Saccharomyces cerevisiae S288C: one gene and its partners. The protein of the gene in region 2 interacts with the protein of the main gene of each other region in a pairwise test. Each region holds a gene or a part of one and is shown on either strand. Other genes may lie near its edges. The genes, in order: YPL216W, IMH1 and REA1.

Evidence for each region.
Region 1: the proteins of IMH1 (region 2) and YPL216W interact in a two-hybrid assay, tested with the Saccharomyces cerevisiae proteins (one large-scale study listed by BioGRID).
Region 3: the proteins of IMH1 (region 2) and REA1 interact in a two-hybrid assay, tested with the Saccharomyces cerevisiae proteins (one large-scale study listed by BioGRID).

Annotation. Positions count from the first base shown.
Region 1 is NC_001148.4:142,073-147,693, forward strand, and holds YPL216W (uncharacterized protein), read left to right. Parts: upstream 1-1,748; coding exon 1,749-5,057; downstream 5,058-5,621. Other genes in the region: GTPase BMS1, read right to left, coding at 1-1,099; CBP3 (Cbp3p), read left to right, coding at 5,344-5,621. UniProt on the Saccharomyces cerevisiae protein: May be required for the activity of an ISWI chromatin-remodeling complex.
Region 2 is NC_001144.5:748,447-753,688, forward strand, and holds IMH1 (Imh1p), read right to left. Parts: upstream 3,324-5,242; coding exon 588-3,323; downstream 1-587. Other genes in the region: chitin deacetylase CDA2, read left to right, coding at 1-429; Ras family guanine nucleotide exchange factor CDC25, read right to left, coding at 3,778-5,242. UniProt on the Saccharomyces cerevisiae protein: Involved in vesicular transport between an endosomal compartment and the Golgi apparatus.
Region 3 is NC_001144.5:360,616-365,564, forward strand, and holds the start of REA1 (AAA family ATPase midasin), read right to left. Parts: upstream 3,124-4,949; coding exon 1-3,123. Other genes in the region: REX3 (RNA exonuclease), read left to right, coding at 3,501-4,715. UniProt on the Saccharomyces cerevisiae protein: Nuclear chaperone required for maturation and nuclear export of pre-60S ribosome subunits.

The DNA of each region.
Region 1 (5,621 bases), on a different chromosome or scaffold from region 2:
CCATCAACACACCTCCGACATCGGACATTGGAGCATATATCAATTTATCTTTATCATCTAACCTTTTACGTCTTCTTGTCGTAGAGGCAGTTGTAATTTCTCCGTTAGCCTTTGCCTCTTCTTTCATTTTTTCACGTTCAAAATCATCCAGTTTCTGTTGGTAAAAAGGTGTGGGACATGGATCTGGTAATTTTTCAATTTGTGCTACTGAGAAATCACCAACACCAGCAATATGCACCCTAGTGCCCGGAGCAGAAGGCAAAGGAGTACCGTGCAAATAACCATAGATAGCGACTTTGCGGTCGATTTGCAGTCCTTGAGTCTCTATTAATTCCGGATGAGTTAAATCTGTGAATCTGTCAGCCAACATATAGGGATGTTCGTTCCTCCATTTTAATGGTCTGAATTTCATAACAGATATAAATCGTGAAAGGTTTAAAATCTCTCTATCAGGATACCTTCCATTAATCACACCAGATAGGTAAAATAATTTTGCACCTTGATAAACTTCCGTCCAGAATCTGTGCTTTAATCTTTTCTTAGAAGCTCTCAAAGTTGACTGAGATTTAAACAGATCAAGATGTGTAGCTACACCAAGTACTCTTGGCATACCGTGATGTTGAGCAATATTTAAGAATTCCATTGTTTCCATTTCAAAACCGAAATTACCGTCAATTAGTAAAAGAACCAAGTCGGCAATCTTAGCAATATCAATCATCGCATTCAGATCGTCCGCAGGGCACTCCAAAAAAGTTAGTCTTCTATGTTTACCAGAGACAACAGTAATAGGACCTTGAATATCATTCAAAGTGCTTTTTGTCATTCTCCTGACGAGGGACCGAATCAAAGTAGTCTTTCCTGTTCCAGGTGGACCCACGACAGCGACGATAAATGGAGGCGGATCATCTTCAGGGGTACGATCAACCATAGGAACATGCAGTTTTCTTTCGTTCACATCACTTGACCTTTGCATAGTTCTCGCCATCTTACCTGGGGCTGCCACGGCAAAGGCCTTTGCATTATGACCCTGCGTATGGAGCTTCTTTTTTGCTGTATTCTTCTCCTTCGCCTTACGGTGCTGTTTATTAGACTGCTCCATCGTTTCAGATAACTCAGATGGCTGATTAAAGGCTACTATTATGTGATATTTTTACCTTAACAGCGCAAATACTTTCCTTAATTTTGAAGCTTCACTTCAGCTCATCGCCTTGAAAATTTTTCATTTGTACGGACATTAAACTTAGGCGATAACAAAAAAAAAACTTCATCTAGATAATCTCAACTTTGAAATTACAGAAATATTTACAACAGTAGTACGAGTATCTGCACTATGGCTCACATGTCCTTAAAATAATCTAAGCTTACCTATCTGATATTTGTTTTGATATTGTTTAGGACCAGCAGTTTCTGAGAGTTTAGCAAATGCACCTTTACAGCTATCCTCAACTTTTGGAAGAGAAAGTGACAAGATATGTAACAATACTTGCATGAATCGACATTTGTTTACTTTGGTCCATTTTGTATATGATAGTGTGATTTAGCGATATGGAATTATGTGTATTTTTCTATTTGTTGTCATTTCAATATGGGATGACTTGTTTTCTTGTAACGCGCCACTTCAATAGTAAACATTATGAACCTGATAAATGTTAGCAGACTTAGTAAGAGAGACAATCATTTTCATTCAGTAAAAATCGCAATCCCTAGTTTGGCTCTTCTTCTAGCCGTACTTTAAATTCAAAGCAAAAATGGTTCTGCTTAACAGAAGGAAAATACAACCTAAGGAAATAGGACAGTCTGCTGATTCCTTCTCTGAAACTCCATGGGTGATTAAAGAAAGTAGCGAGCGTATAAATGATTATGACAGTGATTTAAAAAAGCTAGATTTTTACAAAAGGGATATATTCACCTGTGAGATTAGTGGAAAAGATGGCCTTTCGTATTTCAAGGCGTTAAAAAGCGAAGAACAGCACCGTGAAAAGGTCAGATATCTTTTACCAAAAGAACTAAGGAAGGCTATAGCAAATTTCGCAAACTTCAGTCCGATAAGGAAGGTAGGACACCTTGTAGAAAGCGCATTTCAGCGTTTTAGTAACCGTTTCTTTATAGGCGATACGGTGTGCTTGAAAACTATCCAAAAAAATGCATTGATTACCTATAAAGAAGGAGAGCCTAACTTGGTAGAATCACCAACTATTGAAAACAATGTCACGTTGTTCCTTGTCAAGGATGTGTTTCAATCTAACGGGATGATGGAAAGTGAAAAGGGAGAAATTTCTGCCCCAAAATTGTCACTGTATTTAATCACAGAATGCCTGAATCGAGAATCTAAAGGTGCGGCCCTAATTGTAGGCCAGAATGAAATTAAAAGGCCAGAATCACACTTTTCTAAATTCATAATTGCGTGTTTTCTTAATGAAATACTCATAAAAGTATCGAATAAGGAGCACGCACCATGGAGGGTGAAACAAGAATATATAGAAAGATATGATGTAAACCCTAAATGCTCTCCTAATATGATTGATTATTTGCCGGATAGAATGAACTCATCTTCTTCCGAGCTTTACACTCCTCTTACTATACCACCAGAGAGCGATGTTGAACCTGCTGACTGGAAGGAAACGTCGGAAACGTCGGAAACGTCGGAAACGTCACTATCTAAAATAAAAGCAATTGACGACGAGATTTCAGTCTCATTTGACCACATTTACGATAATGTGAACTCCCTTGCCTACAATGATTTGAAGGGAACCGTCGACGACAAGGAGCTTCCATTCACTGGGCCTTCGATACCATTTGAAAATATCAGCTACTTAGATAGCTCCTTAGAATATAAGAATATCGATCAAAAATGGTTCAAAGAGTGCAGTCAATTTCCAACGGAACGACTATTGGTTGTTTATCAATTCCTGAGCTTTTTTGGACGTTTTATTGGTCTATCACATTTTAATTTTGATCAGTTCCTTACTACTATCAAGTGTACTAGTCCGGAGGCTTTAGTAGATGAATATGTCAAAATAAACTTTCTTAAAACTTACAACAGCAAAGGGAGTTTCACAAATGAGAAGCCAAGAAACGAAATATATAATCAAGTGACCAGTAGTAACGTATCCCAGCGTGAGAAGGCTAACGTCTTTAATGCAGATGAGAGTCAACGAATACCTAGCAATTTCACCAGAAACCAGAAAATGAGGAAATTTATAACGGATAAAAGTACTGAATTTGTAATGTATTCCATTTTTAAAGGGAAGCCTCTAAAAAATGACGATATGGAGTTTCAATCGTACGAAAAAGTGAATATACTTTACATTGATATAGTTTGCTCGTTAATGTGTCTGATGACGGATAATGAACCTGATTGGAATTGTAATCTGATGGACAATTGGACTGAAGAAAAGCGAAAGGAGGAAGGAAATAAAACAGAAATTGATATAGCTATAGAAAAGTGTTTGAACTATGGAGATACTAGCTGGGTTAAACTTTTGCACAATAAAAACTTTAGCAACGGCAATTGGTTGATCTGTCTCCTTGGAATCTTGCAACAGAATACACATATGATAGCATATAGTGATGTCGCAAAATGTATCACAAAAAAAATACTACCTTTATCCATGAATTTTGTAAATTTAGGTGATGAGCTCTGGGATAACTTTCGCAAGAGATTATCTATAAAAGATAAAATTGATGTTTTATGGGTTCTCGTAGATTTTGCGTCCAATTTCTCGAGTTATATTAAGGAGTTGGTAGATAAAGTACCAAAACTGTGCAATGGAATCCGCTTAAAGTTGGATAGTGCAAAAAAAGAGTATATCAAATTGAAACGGCAACTAAAAACGTTAACCAAAAATCGCGTGAAGCTTCACAGCAACGTTTCAATGAACCGATATGGATCAGATGAATGTAAAGGTAAGGTCAATGCCCTTAAAGTGAAAATTGCATACTTAATGGAAGATATCGCCTTCCTAGAGGCAAAATTGATTCAGAGCGATATCAAGAGACTAGAGATTTTGGGTAAAGATAGAAATGGAAATCGATATTATTGGATGGACTCAAATGGATCGTCATCAGCCATCAGTGAAAAAAATGAGGAACTTTACAACTGCTGTTTTTTGTGGGTTCAAGGACCCTCTGAAGCGGATATAAACTTTTGCTTAGATGTCGACGTCGAATCTTTGAAAAAATGGGAGTTGTTAGCTAAAGCAAAAGGTACTGCCTACGCGACAAAAGAAGTCTTTTCAATATTTAGGTCGACAGACGGGTCTTACTATCAAATTGCTCAAGGTGAGAATTTCATGATAATTAATTCAAACGGTATCTTAATGAGGCCAACTATTCCGGCATTCATAGACAAAAAAATTATATCAGAAACTCCAGAAAAGCTCCTACTCTCTCATCATCAATGGGCTTTCTTCAACGATATAGAAGATATACATATGTTAGTAGATAGGTTGGATGATTTAAGAGAAAATGAGGGACAATTGAAGAAAGCTTTGACATCCAAAATGGACCGTATTGAAGTATCATACAAGCAACAGTTCAAAATTAAAAGGCGTATTGAATGTGATGAAACCTTCAAAAAAAATCACAAACTTTTGAAAAATAACGAGTTCACGTTTCCTGAACTGAAAAGAATTGAGACAACTTGTACATCCAACGGCCAACATTTTTCCAACATGGAGAAAATTTCCAAAAAACTATCAAGGACAAAGAATGATCTCGTTTTGGAAGCGATTTTAAAAGACGTAGCTCACCTTGGAGAATGTGAAAGAGCACTTCTCAAAAAGCAACAAAATTTGATTTATCCTTTGAATTTTCATTTCGAACAATTGAGGACGATAGACCTCGAATTTATAGTTGAAACGAAAAGAAAAAGGCAAGAGGATATTCTTACGAAGCTTTTAAATCATCAGAGGTATAAGCATATTAGTCATGTTTCAGGCTATGGGATAAGTTCTCAACGAGTAGATAAAGCTGCACATCTTGATGTGCAGGGTATATTAGAGGAGATTGAATGTCAACTTATTTCAAGACGACGAGAGGATGAAGAACGCAACTAGAAACAACTCTGCAGTTCAAATCACTCTTCCTGTATACGCCTTAGAAAGATATTAGAAATATCTTTTACTATTTAATCTTCACCATTCATTATTCCTCGTATATAAATTGGCCCATTTCAGGGCGTCTGACTGGAGTTGTATTTAGGCTTTACCCGGCGTTCTTCTGAATTTATAGCCAGCAAGGAAAACAACGTCAAAATTGGTCCTCGACTGACGCATTAGTAAGATTAATATTTAGCAAACACTATGATCTCCGTAACAATCTCTTCAGCTATTCCAACACTTGATGATGTCAGTCAATAGATTTACTTCAGGTCGACTCCCTGTTTTCCTTAGAAAGTCCCCTTTTTACTACTCGAGAGCTTATTTGCATCAAACATGTGTTTTCAAGCAAAATAAAGAAACTGCACAAGATTCGCCAGAGCTTTTAGCAAAAAGCTCACATCTGAATTCGAAACCACTAGATGTAAGCAATAAAGCACCAGTGAAAACTGCTCAGAATAAAATTCCTCTAGCTCATAGTAAATATGAATCGTCAAAGTACGAACTTCCCAAATGGAAAGA
Region 2 (5,242 bases):
TCACATACCTGGTCTCACGTATATTTGCCAAATGTATCGAATGAAAAAATTATAGCTCAAATTGAATGGTCCATCTGGGCGATGAATGCTACTGGCAACCATACCCCCAAATGGTTCAGACCTCCATATGGCGGAATAGATAATAGAGTAAGAGCAATAACAAGGCAATTTGGCTTACAAGCCGTCTTATGGGATCACGATACTTTTGATTGGAGCCTCCTTCTCAATGATTCTGTCATAACTGAACAAGAAATTCTTCAAAATGTAATAAACTGGAACAAGTCAGGAACCGGATTAATATTAGAACACGATTCAACGGAAAAAACTGTCGATCTTGCCATTAAAATAAATAAGTTGATAGGTGATGATCAATCAACAGTTTCTCATTGTGTCGGCGGAATTGATTACATAAAAGAATTCTTGTCCTAATTTTCAGGGAATTGAAGAAAATAAGGAAGAATTAAATTACAATTTAAAAAGAAATTGCTTTAGTATTTTATATATAGACATGCAGCAACTTCTTGATATATTTCAGGAAGAAAAAAACTGTTTCAATATATACGTATCTTCTGCTTTCAGCTACATTTTTACTTCAGAGACATAACCAGTCTTTTTTCATCAGTACTGTCCAGTTGTAACAACATAGAAATTACAGGAAGTAATTGGTTCCGTTGTTCCTTGTGCTCCAAAAATCCCAACAAAACATTTTTTATATATGCAATTTTTTCATTTTTCTCAGAGTCTAACTCCAATGAACTTGATGATCGTATCTTCTCTAATTTAGTTGGATTAGAGTTATTCGCTGGTGAGGAATCAATATTCGCGTTAGCTAGAGTACCGATAGAACCAGACCTACTAACTCTTCCTGACTTGTCACTGTATTGTCTTTCCTTTAAAGCATTCAATTGAGAGGACAATGAACGATAATTTTTTAGTAATCGATCAAATTTCTTGTTAAGTTCGTTATTTAAATTCAGAAGTTTCTCATTGGCAGACTGTAGCTCAAAATTCTTTTCATCAGCCTTAGACAATGAGAGTTTTAAATTAGATGTGATCTGTTCCAACTGATCGGAATCATCTGAAGTGGCTTGAGTCTTCCTTTTGATGTCATTGTTAACATGTTTCAATGCGTCAACCTCTGATTTTAGTCCCTCTTCACGAAGCTTTAAAGCGTGTATTTCCGATTTCAGCTCAGTTACTGTATGCTTCCACTCTTGTAATTCAGTGGCCTTTCTGGATGTTTGTAAGTCTAATTCTGCTTCCAATTTATTCTTTTCATCCGTTAAATAGGCCAATTTATTCTCCAACTCTTTTTGTTTGCTCGAATCATCTGTCTGACTGTCCGAAACTAACCTTCTCAATGTGTTAGCTTCTCTGGTTTTGTCTTGAACAATATTAGCATATTCATTTAGTTCATCTTCTAAAGATAAAATTTTTTTTGTAGATTCCTTCAACTTGACATTTAGTTCCTCACATTGTCTTTTGATAGAATCTATGTGTTCATTCGAATTACTTTTTACATTTTGCAAGGTATTGTATTTTTCTTGCAAAATATTCAATCTTTCCGATAATTTACCATTTTCTTTCAAATACTCCTCGTAGGAATTAGAATTCTTTGCGATATCATTATGCAGTGTCTCATTTTCCTTTTTTAATAAGTCTAATCTGTTAGAAATTTTAGCATGATCTTTTCTCAGCTGTTCTGTGGATTTTTCAGCCACGTCCTTTTGCTCACTAAATTGTTTAACTTGTTCCTCCAAGTAACTCACAGTTTTTTCCTTTTGTTTATAAGAGGTTCTTAAAGAAGTAAGCTCCTTTGTTATGTTTGATTTTTCGTAGGTAAGTTGAGATATCTCCTCATTTAATTTGGCTACCTTGTTCTGCGATGTAGTCTGCTCTTTCTCCTTTTCTGTACATAAATTCTTCAGATGCTCTACTTTCTTGCTCAATAACTCTATCTTACTTCTCAACTCAGTATTTTTAGCTTCGTAGGCCTCGATCATCGTTGCATTTTTATGGCGTAAATCATCGAGCTCCAGCTTAACGGTTTTCACTTCTTCATTTTGTTTACTCGAAGACTCTTTAATCTCATCTTTTGCGTCCACAAGCTCATTGCCTACAGTCCTCAGCATATCTCTCACCTCCTCTAGCTCCGAATTTTTTTCTTTCAATGACTTCTTGGTATCGATCAACTCGGTGTTAAGGGTTTCCAGCTCCTTTGCTGATTTTTCGAGCTGTGAGTTTTCCAATTCTTTAGCATCTTTTAGTTCTGCTTCTATATCTTCATACTTTTGCTTCCAATCTTCACAATCTTTATATTTTTCTTGTAATTCTTGCAAATTTTCTTTAAGCTTATCATATTCTTCAGTATTGATTGAGTTATCGACCGTTTCCTCTTCACTGATATCACCCGTAGTTATGCCTCCCTTATTTTTCTTTCCCTTGTTTCTATTCTTTTTCCTTCTGTTATTGTTTCCTACATTTTGATGAGATATCGCCTTCGGTAACTCCTTCATTTTTTTTTCCAATTCACTCAGCTTGCGCTCTTTCTCTTTTAAAGTAATATTTAGTTCTGCCAACTCTGAGGACTTTTCCTCCATTATAGTACTTTTCGAAGACAAATTTTGCTCCAATTCGGTTATCTTCATTCGACTGTCCTCGAGAGAATGGTTCTTTATAGCCAATTCTTCCTTCAGTTCGGATATAGATACTTCTTCTTTCTGTTTTTTGGCCTCCCTTTCTTCCTTTAGTATATTTTCCAGTGCAACTATTTTTTCTCTCAAACCTGAAACAGTATCATTTTTTTCTTTTTGTACAGTATCCAATTCTATGTTTAAAGCTTCCATTTTTTTTTTTAGATCGTCTATGTCATTTTTATAATTTTGCTCTTTTTTCAAAAATTCCTCTTCTTTATCCTTCAGAGTTTCACTAGAGGCGCTTTCTGGAATTTCCGAGTTCTGCTTAGTTAATCTCTTGATCTCATCATTCAATAGGTTATTTTTGTTGTTTAAATCCTGGAAAAAAGCTGGCAACGTATCCACTGCGTCGTCAATATTAGATATGGGTGTATTTTCCGCTAAAATCTTTTCAACAGCCTCTAACTTCTCTGACTTTAATTTTTCATTTTTGTATGCGGAGAGTAGCAAAGGGTATTTTTGTTCATATTTCTCAAATTTTCTTAATTTAGCTTGTATTTCTTTTGGCAAGCCACTCTTATCATCTTCGATTTGTTGTTCTGACGGGGTAGGGCTCATATCATCGGCTAAGCCCTTCGCTAATTCATCGGTAAGATTCTTACCAATTTGTGACAGCTGTTTGAACATTGAATCAGCAAATGTTTCCCTAAGTTAAAATCACCTCAAATGTAACTCCTGTTGCTTACTATTTGACGTTTCTGCTACATTTGGTTCTCTTATATTGCTGGATCTGAAAATCCGAACTATGAGAATGCGGGTAATAGCTTTTCATAGAATCACTAATTGATATTTTTTCAGGTAATAAGTTTCCTCTAATCGGGCATTTAAAATCTTGGATCGATAACTTAACTGGGTGTAATAAAATATATAAAGATATAAAATAGATATATATATATAAAACGAACTTTATCAAGAAGAACTGCAAATGAAGCGTACTCTCAAATCCTCGAAAACGAAAAACACTCCACCAGTACAGTATTATCACGAAGAATATTAAGTAAAAGCAGCCATCTTAAATAATAGAGTGTAGCAATCAAACATAAAGCTAAGGTTCTTCTTGATTAGCAAATTGTATAAACTTTTATCGAAATAACCTAGAAGGAGGTTTTTTCTTACCTAGCTTCAAAAAATTGCCATTTTTATCATCTGTAAATTCACTTAGGAATTTTGCAGTTTTTGTACCGCTAGCAGAAGAAGCATGCGTACTGCCTTTGGTGTTTCCTGATCTCGGTTCCACTTGCAGTGATAATTGATACTGCTTTTCAATGTGGGGGACATTTTCCAAAGACGCTTCTATAACGGTCTGAATATCATCCAATCGTTTCAGCTTGTAATGGAATCTTTTAAAGCTTATAATTTCCTCCACTATATTTGCGATTTTAGTCCTCTTGCTGAAGTTTATTATGTTGGTTGAATTGTGAAGAAAATCTGGGTTTCCGACAAACGTAAATGTTAAATCAGATAGGTATACACCAAAAAAGGGAACACATGCAACGTCCGTCACGGATCGCAACAGCTCTCTATACTTCACAAAATTTCTCTTGGAATCCATAAGGTTGTTTAGGTTCTTCAGAAGGTCCTTCGACTCAGTGGAAACTAAATCCCATGTCTTTTTCAGTCGGTAGATTGGGGAGGAATACAAAGCGGACACTATGGCAGTCATTGAAGAAAAATTATTCAACTCTTTACAATGCTGGGCAACGGTAACAAAATATTGCGTTAATTTTGAACGTGTCTTGACATCTGCCTGTTTTACAATGGTATGAGAAACAAAATTAGTTAGCGTATTAGCATTAGCTATAAATTTCGTAATGTTCGGAGAACCACCCATATTACAATACTTGGTACCCCATGCCCTATCCAAGCATTCAAACATAGTGATCCTGAGGTATAAGTCATGTTCAAGTACAGTCAATTGTGTGGCATATGTGTATGGGTCAATATCCAAGAGCTTCAATTTCTTCAATCTAAAAAACGCTGAAGAAGCAGAAGATGGTAAAGAAGACGAAGACATGTGTATCGGTGATTTATTGTCACGTTTAGTTGTCTGTACGACTGCCGATACCGAATCTTGTTGCTTAGGATCCACTGGTTCTTTCTCATTCTCATTTATCAGTTTTTCATTTATCTTTTGCAAAAGATCCTCTGCCCCCGGTATTTTCTCCGATACAACCATCTTGGCAAAATTTAGAATCAGTGGTATGCCAGGTTCATAATAATTTCTTGTCCAATACTGCGTCAAAAATGTTCTCATAATGTTGACCACACGGCATTTAATCGGGTTTGACTTTTTTTCTATCCAAATATTGTAATCATCGTAACTCAGCCCTTCAGGAGGATACAAGTTGTACCTGTAAATCAGGGCATAAAAAAACTCTCTTGTGGTTAATATACTTCTGAAAGTTATTAACATTGTAACATTGAAAGCCGCATCAACAAGTTCATGACTGGTTAAATGTTCAATCAGTGCCTCTTTTGTCCCGCCACGAATTTTTCCTCTTGAGTCATAGACAAGACTAGTTTCATAATCTGAAGTTAAAAACCAT
Region 3 (4,949 bases), 390 kb from region 2:
CCAATAATGCTTAAACTGAACATAATCTGGTCCTGGAGAGGGAGGTGTCTGTGACATGATTGACTTGACATTTTTTAGCCTCCCCAATGTGAATTTTTCTATTACTGGCTTCAGAATGGCCTCAGATTTTTGGTCCAGTAAAGTCAAAAAACTCATACAGAATCCATCATACAGGGAACGGCGTAGACCGTAGATATGAATAATATCAGTAACATAAAGCAATGTACGCGTCAGGGTACGGATACTAAAGTGTGGTTTTTGGTTTGAGCCATCAACTATAGTATTGTTATCGGAGAGTTTTTTGGCTTCAAGGTAAAGTTCAGCGATGTCATTTCCTACCCATTCATCGCTGACGCTGTACTTTCCAATATATTTATCAATTATGGAAAGCAAATCAGTAATATCACGTTCCGGAGAATGTACATATATTTCGGTAAATCTTGATCTGATACCCATAGGTAAGTCTCTTTTACCAACATCAGTAGCGGGGTTCATACAAGCAAATATTCTAAAATCGGGGTGAGCTTTTATAGGCTCAGCGTCACCCTTTTCTGAAAGAAGAATACTACGAGAATCAGGCTCGGTGAGAAGGTCAGAAATACTTTCTAAGGTATCTGCGGTTGCTAAATTCACTTCATCGAGCAATAGCCACTCCCCAGCCCTGATAGTCTTTACCAAAGAACCCTCGACAAAATTGAAGACAAACGAGTTTTCAATAGAGCTAGACTGGGCCTCAAACTTCTTCACTGAGTCATTGAAGTCAGCCCATTTGTCAAGTAACAATTTTTTTTCATGAGTATTGAGTCTTCTTTTCTTCTTCTTTGCATTTTCGTTTTCATTTTCAGTGTTTGTAATTTTTAATATGCTTTGAGCCATTTTGTACGCTTCGTTCCAAAGTTTAACAACGTTCTTCCATTGATTCTTGTTGAAGCACCTATGTAGCATCTTGTGAAACTTCTCGTTCTTCTTTAAGGAAAATGTAGCATTAAAAAGAGTTTCAAAATTTTCTTGTATAGGAACTGCAACTGTTTTAGAATTTACGGGTTTGTACCCACCAAGAAGATCACCAGTTTCTGTTTGTTGTGAAACATTGATTACCGTTAATTTTTTTGCTAACATCTTAGCAAGTTGTTGAACGACTGTAGTTTTCCCGGTACCCGTTTCACCGACTAGTAAAACAGGTTCAGTCATCTGTATACAAACAGAAATCTGTTCCATTAGTCTTAAAGAATGATTCGTAAATGCGAACAATGTGCTGTTCATTGATTTTTTTTGTATATTTAGCTTTTCCTTAAGTAATACGGCTCTTCCAATTTTAATGCTATCATCAAGGTTTTCCAAAGTGGGCACATGTTGGGTCAAAAATAACGAAATCCTTGAGGAAGCAATGTCTAATGACTCGCCGATTGCTTGTATAATAGGTTCCAAAGCTTTGAATTCTCCAATAGCGCCAGCGAAACAGTCGGCGGCTTCGGAGAAAATACTGTCGTAGACAGAAGACTGGATTAGTTGGTCAGGTTTGTTGATGCCATTGTTTTTGAATAGGATGTCTAACCTTTCGCACAGCTTAATTAAATCTCTTACAGATACAACTCTTGTGTGTGCCCCCTTGTTCAATGAAATGAACTTGGTGTTCATATAAATACTTTTGACGTTTTTGTATGAATCGATTAGTTTGGGGATAAGGTTGGTCAAAATGGGAAACTTTTGGGCTAAAATGTGTGTCAAATCCTCTTCGCTAGGTTCCTCTAATTCAATAACATTCCAGATTCTCATACCAATCATATTCAAGTTATAGATCTTATTGGAACTATCCTTCTGATGATCTTCGTTTATTCTAACAGTTGATATTAACTGGAAACCATTTGCAGCCTTTACAGTCTCTCCTCTGGATGGAATGGTTAGTTCGCGCTTTTCTAAAAGCGATAAAAGTATTGATAAAACATCTGTAGGAGCTTTATCTATGTCTTCTATAAGTACCCATCTCCCTTCTTTGACCGCGGTAGCGAGAACACCAGCTCTCCATTCAAACGTGCCTGGCTTGTCACCAGAGGTATAAGTACCAATCAGTAACTTGGCATCAGTTTGTTCACCTAAATGAATTTTCACAATGGAGTCATGGCAACCCATATATTTACTTAGCTCATTGATTAAAAAGGTTTTACCGGATCCCGCTTTTCCAATGAGCATTATTGGAGTTGAATTTTGAATCTTTCTCCCGAGTTGACGAAGAGAGGAAACCGTTTTATGAGTAGGGACAAAGGTTAATGGGTAGAATACTTTGTCGTGGATAGTGTGGACCTTAGGGACGATAACGCCACAGATTGACGCGACCTTAGTACTCAAATCCTGAGGCTCAATAATGAAGTAGCTAGATTTTTTTTCTATAGTGAAACATTCTGGAACACTGGGTAGTTTAGAGAAATTTGCACATCTCTTAGCTTCGTTCAGTTCGAGGAAGCTGTAATCAATTCCAGAATCGCCCTCAAAATGGCCCAACAATGAATCGCGTGATTTTATATAAGTGTCGAGCATATCGTTTAATGTTTTTTCTCCCATGTCTAAGTATAAAGATAAAACCTTTAATGCTAGAAATATAACAACCTGATTTTCTTGTTCTTTGGTGAGTAAATCCACAAGTTGGTATAAAATGTCGGGTTGAATGAAGCGTGCAAATACTTCTTTATTGTGATATAGTAACCTATAGTATGCTAATAGTATTTTAAACATGTCGGAATCCTTTTGTGTGGATGGATTTTGAAGAATAGTGATGAAATGATCATTCTCTTTATCTAAATAGTCTTCAATTAATGGCATTGCAACGGGAAATATTGTAATTATACTTGCCAACTTTTCAATTACAAGAACGTAATCTTTTTTTTTGGAGTCCTTTATCCAACGTGCCACTATCTCTAAAAAAATATGTTTGTAAAGGAAAACATGACCAGTGATGGAACGGCTATGTAGTATAGTTCCTGCTAAATTGTCTAAATTCTCAGAAGTTGATTCCTTGTTGCTAAAGTGGAAGGGCGCTTCAATAGCATCAGAGGGAAAAGCAGAATTGAAGAGAATTAACCTTTGGTTAACTACGTCTAAATCTAACAAAATTCTATCCTGGGACATTCTCAGCAGATTATAACGGTTTTAAAAATAATGTGACCGCGTAAAGTAGAGGTACCTTAAAATAATAAGAGTAGAATTCGATGTCAAATTAACTCAGAGGTACTTTGAATCTTTAAAATAATCACTTTGGAGAGGAATGTCTAAAGTAAAGCAGTAAGTGATATAATGTTTTCTTTTCATAAAGCTAAATAGACCTTAGCTCATCGCTTCTTTAAAATTTTTCACTCGAAAAAGAAAAAATACCTCGTAAAGGGCGACAATAAATGATGAGTAGAAAAAGAAATGGAATAACGGTTCAAGTGCATTTAAAATCAATGCCTTGAATATGTGTTTCAGTATACATTCAGTTTGACTATATATCAAGAGAAAGCTTTAGTATGGGAAGTTTGTTGAGACCGGTTGATCTGGTAAATCAACCGCTTGGATTCCAAGAAAGATATAAAATTTTGCAGAAATTATTCAAGCAGCTACAAAAGGCATATGCACACACAAAAGGAACTAATATTGACCTTGAAAGACTTGCCACTCGCTTAGAAGTCCATGTTGCTAAAAACAGCTTGTCTGGTCAGAGTTACAAGTTTAACATGAGCATTTTACTGCGGGATGTGCTTAAATATAAAGGAGATCTCTCGAAGATCAAAATTAATGGGCGCCCCCTTAAAGGAGCTAAGCCTCATTTATCCTCAATTGGTAATGCAAACTCTATCACTACAAAATCAAAAGCGATGGAAGCTTTAAAGGCTCTGATTTTGGATTCGAAGGTCTTAGAGAAAAATGGGTATATTGTTAAGGAAATGCAAAATAAAACTAATGATGACAATAGTACGCAACTGTATGCACCTTGTTTGCGTTGCAGCTCAAATTTCAAAAAAACAGACATCATGGAAAAGACTCTATGTAGGTATCACCCTTTGAAAAGAATATACAACAGAGATACCAAGAACCATCAGTATCCATGCTGTGGTGAAACTACTGATTCCGTTTCTTTTCTAAGGCTAGGATGCAAGACGTTTTTTCACCATGTGTTTAGAGGAGAATCATATGACGAGTTATGCAAAATTTCGAAGTTTTCTAGTACAGATGACATTGATGGTGTTGAGAATGTTCTTTCTCTTGACTGTGAAATGGCTTTTACATCATTGGGCTATGAGATGATACGTTTAACAATTGTGGATTTTTTCACCGGCAAGACACTATTTGATCATGTAATTCAGCCAATAGGGGATATTGTCGATCTGAATTCAGACTTCAGTGGTGTCCATGAGATTGACCGAACCAATTGCCCGACGTACAAGGAGGCACTTGATGTTTTTTTATCCGAAAACTTAATAAATAAAAATAGTATTCTTATAGGGCACGGACTAGAGAACGATCTGAACGTCATGAGGCTATTTCATAATAAGGTTATAGATACTGCAATACTTTATTCAAGAACAAAGTTTAAGGTTTCTTTGAAGAACTTAGCGTTTGAAGTTTTGAGTAGAAAAATCCAAAATGGCGAGCATGATAGTTCTCAAGATGCAATAGCAACGATGGACGTTGTTAAAGTCAAAATAGGTATTTCTCCAAGTCAAAACAAGTGGGAAAAATAATGTGATCATATTCAAAGTTGAGCAGACATATATAGTTATTACATTTCATACGGTTCACATGAGTTTTATTAAGTAATTACGTTAAGAAACAACATGATAAAAGTAATGATTTCGTATTGCTTTCCTATTTTCTGTATTTAAGCGAACAATAATAATGCACCTTTTCAATATCTGAATATTAAAATATCGTGAAATTGGGTTCAGGATGTACCAAACTTGATGATAGCTGAAGCA